Linked DNA regions of Oryzias latipes. The protein of the gene in region 3 interacts with the protein of the main gene of each other region in a pairwise test. Links are inferred from orthologs where the notes say so. Each region holds a gene or a part of one and is shown on either strand. Other genes may lie near its edges.

Region 1 (3,688 bases), on a different chromosome or scaffold from region 3:
TATTTTGACTCGGGACAAGTGGAGGAGTTTTTCGCCATGAGTCCGGTCAGTATGTGTGGAAGGGTGGGAGGAGTCATGAATAACACATCAGTTTCAATGTGTTATTTCTCTTAATTGAGGTTTGTTTCTCGTGTCTTTGGTCCTCAGGAGGAGCAGAGCTCAGTTCCTCTGTCTGAGCTTCTTGAGGTGACCAACACTCTGCGCAGCCTTGGCAACCACTACTTCAGCTGTAGCCAACATTACCGGGCTAAAGGCAGCTACAAACAGGCAAGCTGTTGCAGTTTTTTGTCTTCTGACCTGCTGAGGGCCACATGTCTGTGTGTGGGGCCTGGGTATTGGACCCCAAGAATTGTTAGTGCAGTCTTGCTTATGTGGTAAAATGGTTTCCACTAGAAAACAATAAAAACAAACAACTCTACTGCTGAAAGACAAATGAACACAGACATCCTAAAATACCACCATGAGAATGTATTCGGTCTCACCAGGGCCCAGATATAACCCCACCCACAAGTTCAACGGCTGACTCCCAGGCTCAGTGCAAAGTCCTGACGTTCATTGGCAACATCCTTTAACATTAGTAGCCATCAATGCCTTTTTGTCGTCCGGCCTCCGGTTGGAGTCCAAAACTATAAAGTCCACAGTAGCACAACGTCACGGCAATGAGTCCGCGGCGCAAACCCTGACTTTGCTGCTGTAAAATGACAGCCAGCAGATCCACCAGCTAAAGCAGCAAACAGAGCCTGCAAAATAGCAACAAAGAAATAAAATTACACTGAAAAGAATAAACACGGGGGCGCTGTGGATCATTGAACATGTGAGACGTGTTCATATTTTACACCTTTTTTTAGTCACTTGCACGGCGCCAGGTCTTGCTTTTTCCGCTCCGAAAATTCGTCTGAATCACAACATCTTGAGGGAAATCTGAGATGGGGAAATCAGGCCGCAACAAACCTCCAGCCTCACCTGAGCTGCCCATCGACCCCGCCTCGGATGCTAGCGATCGTATGCTAGCACGCATGGAGGGAATGATGGAAAATATGCGGGCGGGAATAGTCAAAGAGTTCGAGCAGAGCAATCCTTCAAGGCTTTTATTAGAGGGGAGATAATCTTTTATATTCACTATGAACAAAAACTGAGGCGTGACAAACTGAATGACTCGAGACAGCAAATATTACAGCTGGAATGCTATGAATGCAGTCTCCCCTTCTCCAAATATTTATAAAGAGGGTCTCTCTCTCTTCAAGCTGAATTTGACACCCTTATGACATATCGTACTACTGAGCTAATGCTTCAGTCCAGTACCCAGTTTTTGAACATGAAGATAAAGCAAGCAAACTTTTGGCACACCAAATTAGACGGGTTTCAGCCTTGCAGCAAATCTAAAAAATTCTAACCCCTTGGGGTATTACTACAGAGCCTTCTCAGATTAACCAAACCTTTAAAGAATTTTACGAAACATTATACATGTCTGAGGCTACACCAACAGATGTGGACTTTGGCTATTTTTTTTTTCAACATTGAGAATTCCTACCGTCGATCAGGAAGATGCCAATAATTTGGGCAGGACCATTTCATTGTCGGAAATTAACACGGCAATTCTGTCTCTCCAAGCAGGTAAATGTCCAGGCCCTGATGGCTATCCTTCAGAAGTTCATGGATAAGTTAGCTCCGCTGTTATTAGACATGTATAATGAGGCATACTCTAAGGGGATGCTACCTCAGACACTTAATCAAGTCATTATTTCTCTGATTTTGAAGAAGGAAAAAGGCCCCCTCTCTTGCTCCTCCTACCAACCCATAAGCCTGCTAAATGTGGACTAAGGTTGGGCGATGTCCCTTAAATTGGCTGTTGACGATGTTTGCTGTCAACCATCGGGATGGACGATGATATCGTCGTGGGGGGGGGGCGCTGTTTTTAATTTTTCTGTCTTACATAATTGCTATTCGTTATTTTAGTTTATTACTTTATTTATTTTATTTCCCAAATAATGACTCATCCGCGATGATCCAGTATAAACTGAGGGAAGTGACTTTAACAAAAAAAAAGAACAAACAAAATAGAAAAGAATTAGTCCGTTCCCGCACTTAACTAGTCAAGTGGACGGATGGAGCGCAGATTTACAGCTTTGTGTTTGATGGGAAGGGGGGGGGGGGGGGTGCTATGTTACATGAGCGGTGTGTGTGGGAGATTTAGGACTGCGATCCGTCCCGCAGCTCTAGGGGAACGGGGTACCGAACTCAGAACCGGGTCTAAAAGTGTGTGTCTTTGAGCACAGCTCGGATCGTCAGCACACACACACACACAGCGGCGGTGTGAGCTTCAAAGCAGAAATGTCGCTCAGTCCTTAGAAACCGTTCAAACAATCACGTAGATTTGTGTTTCCAGTCGCGTCCCGACAAAATAAAGGCTGATGTTATTCCCACGTTTACGTGCAGCCAGGATGCAGATAGCAGCGCCACCCAAAGCTAATGCTGTTAGCCCGTGTTAGCATGCTACTAATTGTGGCTTCTTTCCGGCTCCGCTCTTCAACAGAAAAAGCGCTGAACACACGGATTAAAAATAAAACAGGCGAACAGGTGCTTCATAATAATCGTAACATTATTAAAAGCACGTTTAGAAGATCGTCTCGTATATTACGGAGCTGACATGTCAATGTATATAGCCGCTCGGCGGAAGTCATATCCTCAGTCATTCCGGTTTTTCAAACACTACTGTTAAAGTTATCAGGATATAAACTTAATTTGAGCAAAAGTGAAAGTTTTCCCCCTGAACTCGCATATTAATGCATCTTCCCTGCAAAATTTCCCTTTTTAAATTGGCAAATGACAGCTTCTGTGGTAGCTAGCATAACCTGCTTTCTGGAAGACCCCCCAGGTGTGCCGTGGGAGATTTCCCATTTTCACTGATCTAAAAACATTTCCATCTCCAGGATATCAGCTCTGTGTTCATCCAAACAGGCCCTGATAAAACACTGAGTATTTAGGAATATGAAAGATGATAAAATACTTTTTTCTTTGTTTTTTTGATTCTATTAAAGACACTTTGTTAAGAATGATGGTACCGTGATTTAGCCACAGCTTCAGCTCTGTTTATTTGGAAAAGTCCCGCCCCTTTAACTGTCTCCACCAATCATTCTTGGAGGCTTATTCAGACGTCATCAGTCTGACCAATCAGAAGTGGTTAAAGTCTTCACTTCCTTGTTCTGATTCTGCTCATAAAGTCTCTCAGTTCCAACAAAAATACCAGCTAAGTAGCTTTCCACAGAATCCGGTGTCAGACCGTGGAACAAGTGAACAAAACCTTGAAGCACCATTTGCGGGAGTTGGCACTACTCTTCTACACTTCCATGATGCATTGGGTTAAAGTGACAGCATCTTTGCGCTACAATGAGTCTTCCCTGTCAAACGTCTTAAACCACAACGAACACACATCAGTTTTGAAATCTTCTTGATGAAATCAGAGGTCAACAGTTTAGTTCTCCTTCCAGGTTTGTGTTTCTTAACAGCCAAACATCCCAGAGTTTAGTCCAAGTCATCTTTCTAACTGAAACACTTTTCTAATAACTTAAGAAGAAGTAATAACAGCATCTAAGAAACAGGATGAAGGTGAAGTGGCCAACAGACACAATTAAACTAAATTGAAACAATTTAATCATCTAAAAAGAAATAAAAGATTTTTGTTAAAGTT
Region 2 (3,352 bases), on a different chromosome or scaffold from region 3:
TTAGAGGAATTTTTATTTATTTTTATTATTATTATTATTATTTTTTTTTTTTTACAAAAAATAGTACCTAAAAAGGAAAAAAAGTGAAGAAAAATACCACAAAACCATCCAACTGTGGAGACTAAAACCCAGATATAGAGGGAAGGAAAGCTGAAGTGCTGATTCTCTGAATCATTTAGGATTGTGTTGGTTGAAGGCAGAGGGCTGAAGAGGATGTCTGACTGGCAGGTCGGCATGCAGGCATCCACATTAGTTGGAGCAACAAACAATTGATGAGTGGATTATGATTTTGGCATGACACACTGCTGAGTTGATGAGATGAATGATTGCAGGCAGGTGTACAGCCTGAGAACCTGCCAGGCAGCAAAGGAGAGAGGAAGAAAGAATTACACCCAACACTTTGGTAAACAGACAGAAAAAACCTCAACGGGGAAAAGAGGCTGCAAAAACACAACTTTTTTTCCTTTAAAAAAAAAAAAGTGATCAGAAGTGTCTTTTACTCGTTCCTTTGTGCTGTTTCATTATGTTGCCCTGGAAAGGAGAATTGATCCATTGATGCACTGAAGTTGAGTTCATCCCCTGAGGTGCATTTGTTCTTCTCCTCCAGCCCTGCAGGAACGAGTGTCTGCGATTGAGGCTGCGCACGCTGAGAAAACGAAAGAGCTTGAGCTCCAGCTGCATGCAGCCCGCAGAGAGCACACCAGAGCAGGTAGATCCTCGTCGCTGCCTGTCGCAGCTCCACGTCAGAGCGCCGAGGTTTATTACTGATGCAGACTGTAATTTAATATGGTCGAATCTGTTTGCACAGTATATTAGCCGTGTGATGGAAGATCATGTCCCTGTGGCTTCTGATGTGTCTGTTTTGTCTGTTGCAGTTATGACTTTGCTGCAGTTTCAGAGACAGGCAGCAAGACAACACGATGAGATAACAGAAACTCCAAACTGGGGGGGTGAAAACACAAAACAAAATGTCCTGAATAAACATGTAAAGGAGATGGAGGGGAGCAAAAAGTTTCTACATGTAAGAACAGACTTTAAAACAAAAACGCTATACAAGAAATGTGTGTGTGTGTGTCTTTTAACGTGACTGTGCTTTAGGTCATGGCCTCTAAAGAGGCCCCGATGGCAGAACACGCACAGAGTCGAGAAACTCCTTCAGAGAAGAGGACTTCTGTTGAAGCAGAGGTCCACCTTCCTGCAGGTGCTGAGAAATATCCTTAATCTAATCGTAACCAATATTTTAGACCCTAACATTCACACAGGGCTAACTCTGTTTTCTCCAAGAGAGACTCCTGAGTGTTTTGGAGGAGCTCCACACGCTTAGCGCTGCTGTAGTAAACAGCTCTGAAGACTCTTCAGAGGAAGAACTCAGAAGTGACGACAGGAAGACTTCTGCTGACCTTCTGGACAGTCAAGACATGAAGAACTGAAGAAGTTTAACTACTGATTAGAAATATAAAAAAATAACCCTATTTTTACTCCATTAAGTTGAGCCATAAAGGCTGGAATCACTTTCATGTTGACTAAATAAAAATTATAATATTTTACATAATCTATTAGTTATTGTGACTTTTTAAATTAAAATCAATAAGAACTCAGGAAAGTATACAAACACTCGTGAATAGTGGGGCACAAACAGATAATCTTCAATAATGTACTATTTCTTTATTATTTTACTACTTTTTAAAATGTATTTGGGTTATTTAAAGGACAGTCTCGTTTCCTACTTTAATTTTGCCGTTCAGCTAAAGTAAGGATTTCCTGCAAAATGCTTTTGGGAGTTGCCTCCAAGTGTTTTCTCGTCACACACAAAGCCTTTTTTTTTCAAATTACATTTAGGCACATTGGTAAAGATTTTCTACTGTAAAAAATCTATATTTTCTATTTGACACTCCTTTATAGAGCAGTCATAAGAGCAATGAGGATAAACACCATGACGAAGCAGGTAATTGTGCTATTTGTCATGCTGTCACCAGTGCTGATAAATTCAGAAAAAGTTCAAAGTTTTAGGCCCTTTAGGTAACAATTTAATAGTCTTGATGAAGTGTAAATATACCCACTAATAAAATCGTCTTTACTCTAAGCTCTCTGACCGCCGGAGAAGTGATTCATCATTTTAAACTGGTCAGTAACTGATTCAGCTTTACTGTTCTAAAAATCTTACTTTTACTGCATATGGTCTAAGAGACCCTAGTGAAATTCAATAAAAAATTACAGAAGTTCGAAGCCTAAATTTAGGTCACGTCCTGTTGACACACCTGAAACCCATTTTTATATTTTTTTGGTTCTTTTTAATTATTATTTAAGTTTATTTGCATCTTTTGGTTGTGATGTTGGTGAATTTCTTTTGAATATTGAAGGCTGATGGTAGCTTGTCTTGCATTTTTCTCTGCAGCACCTTGCAAGTGCACAGAATGACCAACAGAGGGCAGTGTTGTCAAAGCTGAGCTCAAAGCGAACAGCCCTCTTGAAAGGAGGAAACAAAAATTAACTAATAACGTTAATCATCTAGGTTGAAAAGGTTTTGTATGAATAAGAGGATAAAAAGGTGTAGACTATATTCTAATATTATTGATTTAAGACATGGTGAAAAATTGACTAAATCAGGAGAAAAATCTAATGAATAAAGTAAAAAAAAAAGAAAGAAAAAAACTGGTTGTGTTTTACTATTTAGAGCTAAGTAGTTCTGAAAAGTTATGAAAACTAAATATTGCAAAAATTAATCACACACCTGGGAGTGATCTTCAGTCAGCTCTACCTTTCTGGCTTCACTGGCCTGTTTACTGCGATTGACTGTGCAGCATTGTTGTGAGACCCAGTTTCCCCTCCTGCTTGTCAAGTTCATTGGGTCTTATCACAGAGTACCGGGACAAGCCCAAAAGTCTTTTGCTGCAGTCTCTGGTTATCATCAGGTGTTTTTTTTTCCCCCTGTCTCCTCAACTTTTCCTAATTGTGAGTGATCCAGTGATATCAAATATATGTGAGTCAATGCACAAAAAATAATTTTGAAACTCAGAGTTTTGACCAAAACCAGATGACATTTTTACAAGCAGATTTGTGATTATTAAATGCCTTACCTTAACGTGGAGTGTGAATATATTAGATGTGTATTTTATTGTGTGGGGCGTCTTTTTCTTTTTTTTTGCAAGAATAGGGATTGGGGGTTTCTGTATTCTTGTTTGTTTTTATGTGCAGCACCTTGAGCTGTTTTATATTTTTTTACATGAAATGTGCTTTATAAATACAATTAATTTGAATTTGAATAAAACAGAAGAGTTTTTGTTTTAGAATTAAAAAAAAAAAAAATCAAAGGCTTGCTGTGACTTCCTTTCACTGAAATGAAACAAAGCAT
Region 3 (3,688 bases):
CCCGGGTTCTGGAGACATATAGTTCCTGGACAGATGGGAGGCTGCAGCCGATCACCTTCTCTGCTGAGCGCACAATACGCTGTAGCCTGTTAATGTCCCTGGTTGTGGCACTAGTGTACCACACGGTGATGGAGGAGGTGAGGATGGACTCAATGATGGCCGTGTAGAACTGCACCATCATCTGGGCCGGCAGCCGGGCTTTCTTCAACTGCCGCAGGAAGTACATCCTCTGCTGGGCCTTTTTGAGGAGAGAGCAGATGGATGGCTCCCACTTGAGGTCCTGCGTGATGGTGGTGCAGAGGAAACGCACAGAGTCCACTAGGTTGATAGGAGAGTCTGACAGGGTGAGAGGGGGTGAGGGGGGTGTGACTCTCCTGAAGTCCACGATCATCTCCACTGTCTTCTGGGTGTTCAGCTCCAGGTTGTTGATGCTGCACCACGACCCCAGCCAGTCCACCTCCCTCCTATAGGCAGACTCATCATCATTAGAGATGAGTCCGATGAGGGTGGTGTCATCTGCAAACTTGATCAGTTTGACAGAGTCATGGCTGGAGGTGCAGCAGTTAGTGTACAGGGAGAAGAGCAGAGGGGAAAGTACACAGCCCTGTGGAGTTCCTGTGCTGATGCATTGGGTGGTGGAGACATTCTTCCCCAGCCGCACACACTGCCTCCGGTCCATTAGGAAGTCAGTGATCCACCTGCAGGTGGAGTCAGGCACGTTGAGCTGGAGGAGCTTTTCCTGGAGCAGAGAGGGGAGGATGGTATTGAACGCAGAGCTGAAGTCCACGAACAGAATCCTAGCATAGGTTCCCGGGGAGTCCAGGTGCTGCAGGATGAAGTGTAGGGCCTGGTTGATGGCATCGTCTACAGACCTATTGGCTCTGTAGGCGAACTGCAGAGGGTCCAGGAGGGGGGAGGTGAAGGATTTGAGGTGGGGGAGGACCAGACGCTCGAATGACTTCATGACTACAGACGTGAGTGCCACAGGCCTGTAGTCATTGAGGCCAGTTATGCGGGGGTTCTTGGGGACAGGGGGACAAAAAATGTGTTTAGCGGACCAAAGGTATTGTCATACGCATGGATATAGTTTACTGTAAAAGGCTTAAGCATAGCGAGATGTCGGCCCTTTAAAAGCTGCACATACCAGTGTTGTGGTGGCAGCATTATGGCGAGGGTTCAAAGCTAATGGAAGGATTAAAACACGCAAATCAGAAAGGTGAACATCATCTCCACAGGACGCTGAAGTAAAGTTATGTCAAAGGTTTCTTTCATCTTTCCCCTCATTTTGTGAGTTCTTGAAGAAGACTATGTGACGGTGCTGTGATGTTTTCTCTGAAGCTGTTTTCTGTCTCCGTCTGTGCAGAACTCTCGCTCTGATAAAGCCAGATGTTGTGACTAAGATCGGGGATGTGATGGAATTGGTTTACTCCTCCAACCTGATCGTGACCAAAGCTAAGATGACCAGACTTTCATGGTGAGATCACGATGACCCTCCAGATGTGCTGGAGCAACCTGTCAGACATTTACTGACATGATTCTTTGGATGTAGAAAAACAACAGTGGACTGAACTTTAGGAAACTAAAATGTGAATGGATTTGACATTCATTCTGTTTACTTGTTTGTTTGTACACATATTTCATTTACACTTGATTATCTTGCAAGAAATACAAGGAATCTGGAAAACGTCACCTGAACTTTTCAGTACCAGGTATTTATCTATGAGTCACACTGGTTGAATATGTTCTGGATCCGTTTTGGGTCAGTGAATCGGTTCCAATCGGATTCTTTCAAAATGAACCTGTCATGATTTGATTTTGTTGTCTTGTTTTTGGTCCTTGTTCTGTCTTGTTTCTGTTTCCTGTTTTATTTTGAAAGTCTCCTGTCTTGTCTGGTTTCTTGAGTTTTACTTCCTTTGGTTCCCATTCAGCCCTGATCGTGTCCACCTGTGTCTTGTCTGCCCTGTCTGTATATAAGTCTTGTCCCTGCCTTCCTCCTGTGTTGGTCCAGTACCCCTGTTATGGTGTTCATGCCTTGTTCCTTGTCCCTCGCCATGCCACAGTAAGTTTTAGTTTTGTTTTGTCATCCTGCTCTGCAGCGCTTTTTGTTACTATTAAACCCCTTGCCCTTGAACCACGTGCCCCTGCCTCTGCATTCTGGGTCCTACCGGCTCTCGAGCCCCCCTGCACCTTGACAGAATGGACCAACCAAATTTTCTGGACCCAGCAGAGCAGGACTAAACTGGGAGCCGTCTCGCCATGAGGGGGGGTCGACGTCGCCGTCGTCCCCGCCGTCCCCCACAGTCACGTTCAGTGGTGGTCCGGGATGCACCACAGCCACGTTCAGTGGTGGTCCCGGATGCACCACAACCTCCCCCAGTGGTGGTCCCGGACGCACCACAGCCATGTCCAGTGGTGGTCCCGGACGCACCCCAACCCGTCCCGGCTCCCAGGGGGGTGCCGCCTGCACCCCGACCCATCCCAGCTCCCAGGGGGGTGCCGCCTGCGCCCCGACCCGTCCCGGCTCCCAGGGGGGTGCCGCCTGCGCCCCGATGGGTCCCCGGTTCCACTGCCACGCCTGACCCGCCTGAGCTCGGCTCCACGCCTGACCCGCCTGAGCTCGGCTCCACGCCTGACCCGCCTGAGCTCGGCTCCACGCCTGACCCGCCAGAGCTTGACTGCTGGCCCGACCCACCGGAGCCTGACTGCTGGCCCGACCCGCCGGAGCCTGACTGCTGGCCCGACCCGCCGGAGCCTGACTGCTGGCCCGACCCGCCGGAGCCTGACTGCTGGCCCGACCCGCCGGAGCCTGACTGCTGGCCCGACCCGCCGGAGCCTGACTGCTGGCCCGACCCGCCGGAGCCTGACTGCTGGCCCGACCCGCCGGAGCCTGACTGCTGGCCCGACCCGCCGGAGCCTGACTGCTGGCCCGACCCGCCGGAGCCTGACTCCATGCCTGACTCCATGCCTGACTCCATGCCTGACTCCACGCCTGACTCCACGCCTGACTCCACGCCTGACTCCACGCCTGACTCCACGCCTGACTCCACGCCTGACTCCACGCCTGACTCCACGCCTGACTCCACGCCTGACTCCACGCCTGACTCCACGCCTGACTCCACGCCTGACTCCACCACGCCTGACGACTCCACCACGCCTGACGACTCCCCCACGCCTGACGACTCCACCACGCCTGACGACTCCACCACGTCTGACGACTCCACCACGCCTGACGACTCCACCACGCCTGACCTGCCTCGCCGGACCGCACGGCCCCCCGGCCGTCCTCCGGACCTGCCTCGCCGGACCGCTCGGCCCCCGGCCGTCCTCCGGACCTGCCTCGCCGGACGGCGCGGACCCCCGGCCGTTCTCCGGACTCTTGTGCCCGTCGAGGTTTATCCTCCGGGGCCCCCCCCTCATGTGACTTTTGGAACCTCGGAGCGGTTCCTTGAGGGGGGGGTACTGTCATGATTTGATTTTGTTGTCTTGTTTTTGGTCCTTGTTCTGTCTTGTTTCTGTTTCCTGTTTTATTTTGAAAGTCTCCTGTCTTGTCTGGTTTCTTGAGTTTTACTTCCTTTGGTTCCCATTCAGCCCTGATCGTGTCCACCTGTGTCTTGTCTGCCCTGTCTGTATATAAGTCTTGTCTCTGCCTTCCTCCTGTGTTGGTCCAGTACCCCTGTTATGGTGTTCA
Region 4 (3,382 bases), on a different chromosome or scaffold from region 3:
GAACCACACGGGGGGACCTGGTCAATGACCTCCAGAGAGTTAGCAGCAAAGCAACAAAGGCCACTATCCATAACACAGGACGCCGCCACACCTCCTCAAAACTGTAATCACCCGAATAACTTGTCGAATGAGGAAGGACGGCAGCTCGGGGACAGCTTCCAGATGATCGGGGGTCAGTCAAAGAAAGAGGACCCAAGAGAGAGCCGGTCCCACGGCCAAGCCCAGGTCCCCGCCCCTAAGCACTGCCCCAGCAAGAGCTCAAGTCAGGTGCAGATGGAACCGAGGCAGTTGACTAGTCATGAATTTCTATTGAACTCCTGCCATTCTGCACAAACTACGTCCTACACAACGATACAGGTTTATTGATTTGGCCTAAAATCTGCATGATCCTAAGTAAAGACTACTGGGAACGATTTGACAACAGATCAAAAGATGATCGGAGTGAGACTTCTATGCATTTTACAGCGTAGGCTTATGTAGTTTTCAACCTCAAATATTGTCAGTTCTTATTCAAAAAAAAGTCCAAGATGATGAAGAGTGGTGAACTTTAATTATCTGCTGTAGTTACATTAATTACATTTCATGCAGGATCCTACTTCAGCGTGCATTTCTTCTGTTTAGAATTCTTTGTCTAAACATTAGCAGACTCTCTTTTTTTCAGATTTCAGGTCAGTTGGATAACATTGTGTTAGGGATCAATATCTCTAATATCAAGCACAAATCCTACTGAGAAAAAGATGGAAATGTCAGGTGTTTAGAAGAGTCTTCTTTATAACCGTGTCCTCCCAAAGCCTGGTGGTCCAGCAGACTTAACTACAGACAGGCTTCCTGCATCCTCAGCTTGTCCGGTTTTCTGGTTACCGACTACTTCCACTATTCCACTGTCACGATACGAATGGAGCCCAGGTCGGACAGTAGGTCTGTGGAGTCTGAGGAGGCATCAATGACATTCGGGGCTTCACCAGGATTTGCGGCTTCCCCTTCATCCTGGATGATGACGTTCCTCAGCTTCCTCTGCCGTGGGTTGTAGTTCTCCGTGCGTTTGTGAATTTGGCTGTGGCGTCTCAGGTGAGCCTGGAGTAGAAGACGGAAGACAGGGGTGATTCCTGAAAGACAAGCTGCTTTTACAGCATCTTCACAAATCCCTCATAGTTGAAAACAAACAGTTTGGAATTAAAGAAAATAAGTTTTCCTCGTTGACTGTATACGAGAACTGGACTGAGTGTGACGTCACAGAAAGTGCAATTTTTTGACTATACAGATGTCACCGTGTTATAGCCAGACGACGTCAGTAGGCAGTGATTGGTTGGTCTGAGTCATTCTTTCTATAGCAACCATTCTCGCCAATCGAGTGAGCTTGTTGGAAGTCCACACCCCTACTTAAAGTGGAATTGATATAATCTGGCATTTAACGTTTTGAATGTACAACGTGAGACCACATGCTTTTATTGAGGCTTCTGACTTCATATATAGCAGGTTATAAAAAGAAAACAGAGCAAGAAATGGTGATTCTGAGAAATAGATTGACTGAGTAACAGCTGTTTATTTCTCTACAGAAGTCTGGGAGTTTAGCTTCTTGAAGCCAGAGGGTACTTCCTGTTTGGAATACCAGGGGGGAGGAGTCACTCAGTCCAGTTCTTATACACTCAATGGTTGCAACACGCGTCTTTAAACATAAAAACTTAATTTTATTTAATTAAGTAACTAAATTGCTTCCACAGGGAAAAAGATATCAGAAAAGCAGTGCAGAACAAATTATTATTTTTGTTTATTAAGTTACAAAGAAAAATGATTCCTAGTTATTTACTCTTTATGCTTTATTCTTGTTTAAAATCAGTCACAATTTAGTTTTTTTCCTGCGTTTCTTAAATTTTCTGTGATGCAGAATCTAAATCTTGAAAGGCGCTGGCGACAGCTCAGAAAGATGGACACGTGTCACATCCATTTGTGTTGGGTTTTTCCTTCCATGTCTGAAAAATGACAAATTTGCTGACAAACAGTTGGTTGATCAGTTGCTGAAGCACAAACACTGTGGCAGTGGTGGAACCAACAATGTAATGGTCAAAACTAAATCCATTGTCTAGGCCCCAACCAGTCGGATTTTGATCTTAACTATAAAACTAAAACATTTTTATATTCCCAAAACTTCTTCCCTCATGAAATGATCTGGGATATGAACGTGTTTCAGCTGCACTGCATGTGTGTTTCCATCTGTTCTGAAGTTTGCCTGTTTTTATATCAGGATGAACACGGACAGATCAAGCACCTCATGGTTACACTCTTTCACATACCTTAAGAAGGAAGGAGAATGTTTTGTCCTCTCAAACAGTTATTGTTCTAGAAATTGGCTCCCTCTTAAGTCTCTGAACTGATTGCATTTACACCGATTGAGGCTGAACTCAAATGGAACAAGGACTAACAAAAACTAAACCAATAAGAAATTTAAACATTTTTATTAACAGATTATCCGAATGACATGGCTCTTACACCTACCACTCGCTTTGGTTCGCTTTTTTGACTTTTTGGTCCACTCAACAGTATATTTGCATTCACACTGTAGTTATCTGCACCAGGATTCACTTGCAAGGTCGGGGTTCACTTTTGATGTGGTCCAGAGTTCACATAACCTTTGGTAAGCACCAGGGTTCAGATACGTTTTTAAACCTCCTAAATGAACCCGACCCCAGAGTAAAGTAATTCTGGTGCAGTAAAAATACCCCCCCCCCCCCCCTCCGATTGCACTAATTTCAACCTTTGCAAAACTTCATAAAGCCTTGTAGCCTTCGTGGCCAACAAAGTTTAAATCCCACATGGGGTGTGACATATGTCAGTACGTCAAAACTTTTTCTTCTCCCATCAATCATTTTCCGATTTCTGACAGTATGAGAAAAAAAATTTCTATCGACTAAAACCAGAGATTTACTAAATTCTAAAAACGTACATTTTGCCTGTTTCTCCATATTTTCTCTGATTATACAGTATTTTTCAATTTTAAGAAAACATGTTAAAACAACAAAATCTATTTGGTGTTTTGTATCTAATTTTTCTGAAGTGTTGCGTTTGCACTAACCTGCCGAGTGAACTTGTAGCCACAATCGCTGCACTCAAAGTTCCTCACCCCTTTGTGACGTCGCAGATGGACACGCATCTGCTCCTTTGCTGGAAAAAGGAAAGAAAAAAAAACAGCTTGCAGTTTCTTTTGCGCCAACAGAGATCTGTGTTTGTGACCAGGTCAGCATGCCTCACCTTTGAAAGTTTTCCCACAGATGTGGCAGCAGTGGGGACGGCCCTCCTCGTGCTTGCTGGCCTTGTGGCGAAGGAGGGCGCCTTTCTCAGTGAAGCGCTTCTCGCACACGTCGCAGGTGAAGGGACGCTCACCTGT

The links.
Region 1: the proteins of nme7 (region 3) and fkbp6 interact in binary tests that used the Homo sapiens proteins (3 or more experiments, as listed by UniProt). The two-hybrid records come from large-scale screens. The link is inferred for Oryzias latipes from reciprocal best matches to the Homo sapiens genes NME7 and FKBP6.
Region 2: the proteins of nme7 (region 3) and coiled-coil alpha-helical rod protein 1 interact in binary tests that used the Homo sapiens proteins (3 or more experiments, as listed by UniProt). The link is inferred for Oryzias latipes from reciprocal best matches to the Homo sapiens genes NME7 and CCHCR1.
Region 4: the proteins of nme7 (region 3) and telomere zinc finger-associated protein interact in binary tests that used the Homo sapiens proteins (3 or more experiments, as listed by UniProt). The two-hybrid records come from large-scale screens. The link is inferred for Oryzias latipes from reciprocal best matches to the Homo sapiens genes NME7 and ZBTB48.

The regions. Positions count from the first base shown.
Region 1 is NC_019882.2:22,096,853-22,100,540, reverse strand, and holds part of fkbp6 (inactive peptidyl-prolyl cis-trans isomerase FKBP6), read left to right. Parts: coding exon 1-45; intron 46-147; coding exon 148-267; intron 268-3,688. UniProt on the Homo sapiens protein: Has an essential role in spermatogenesis. It is required to repress transposable elements and prevent their mobilization, which is essential for the germline integrity.
Region 2 is NC_019872.2:16,061,929-16,065,280, forward strand, and holds the end of coiled-coil alpha-helical rod protein 1, read left to right. Parts: intron 1-607; coding exon 608-709; intron 710-875; coding exon 876-1,021; intron 1,022-1,098; coding exon 1,099-1,201; intron 1,202-1,284; coding exon 1,285-1,430; 3' UTR 1,431-2,801; downstream 2,802-3,352. UniProt on the Homo sapiens protein: May be a regulator of keratinocyte proliferation or differentiation.
Region 3 is NC_019862.2:27,537,996-27,541,683, reverse strand, and holds part of nme7 (nucleoside diphosphate kinase 7), read left to right. Parts: intron 1-1,363; coding exon 1,364-1,474; intron 1,475-3,688. UniProt on the Homo sapiens protein: Possesses an intrinsic kinase activity. Displays 3'-5' exonuclease activity with a preference for single-stranded DNA. Does not seem to have nucleoside diphosphate kinase activity.
Region 4 is NC_019865.2:24,218,385-24,221,766, forward strand, and holds the end of telomere zinc finger-associated protein, read right to left. Parts: coding exon 3,247-3,382; intron 3,160-3,246; coding exon 3,071-3,159; intron 1,075-3,070; coding exon 874-1,074; 3' UTR 529-873; downstream 1-528. UniProt on the Homo sapiens protein: Plays a critical role in transcriptional regulation and chromatin remodeling. Acts as a regulator of telomere length. Directly binds the telomeric double-stranded 5'-TTAGGG-3' repeat.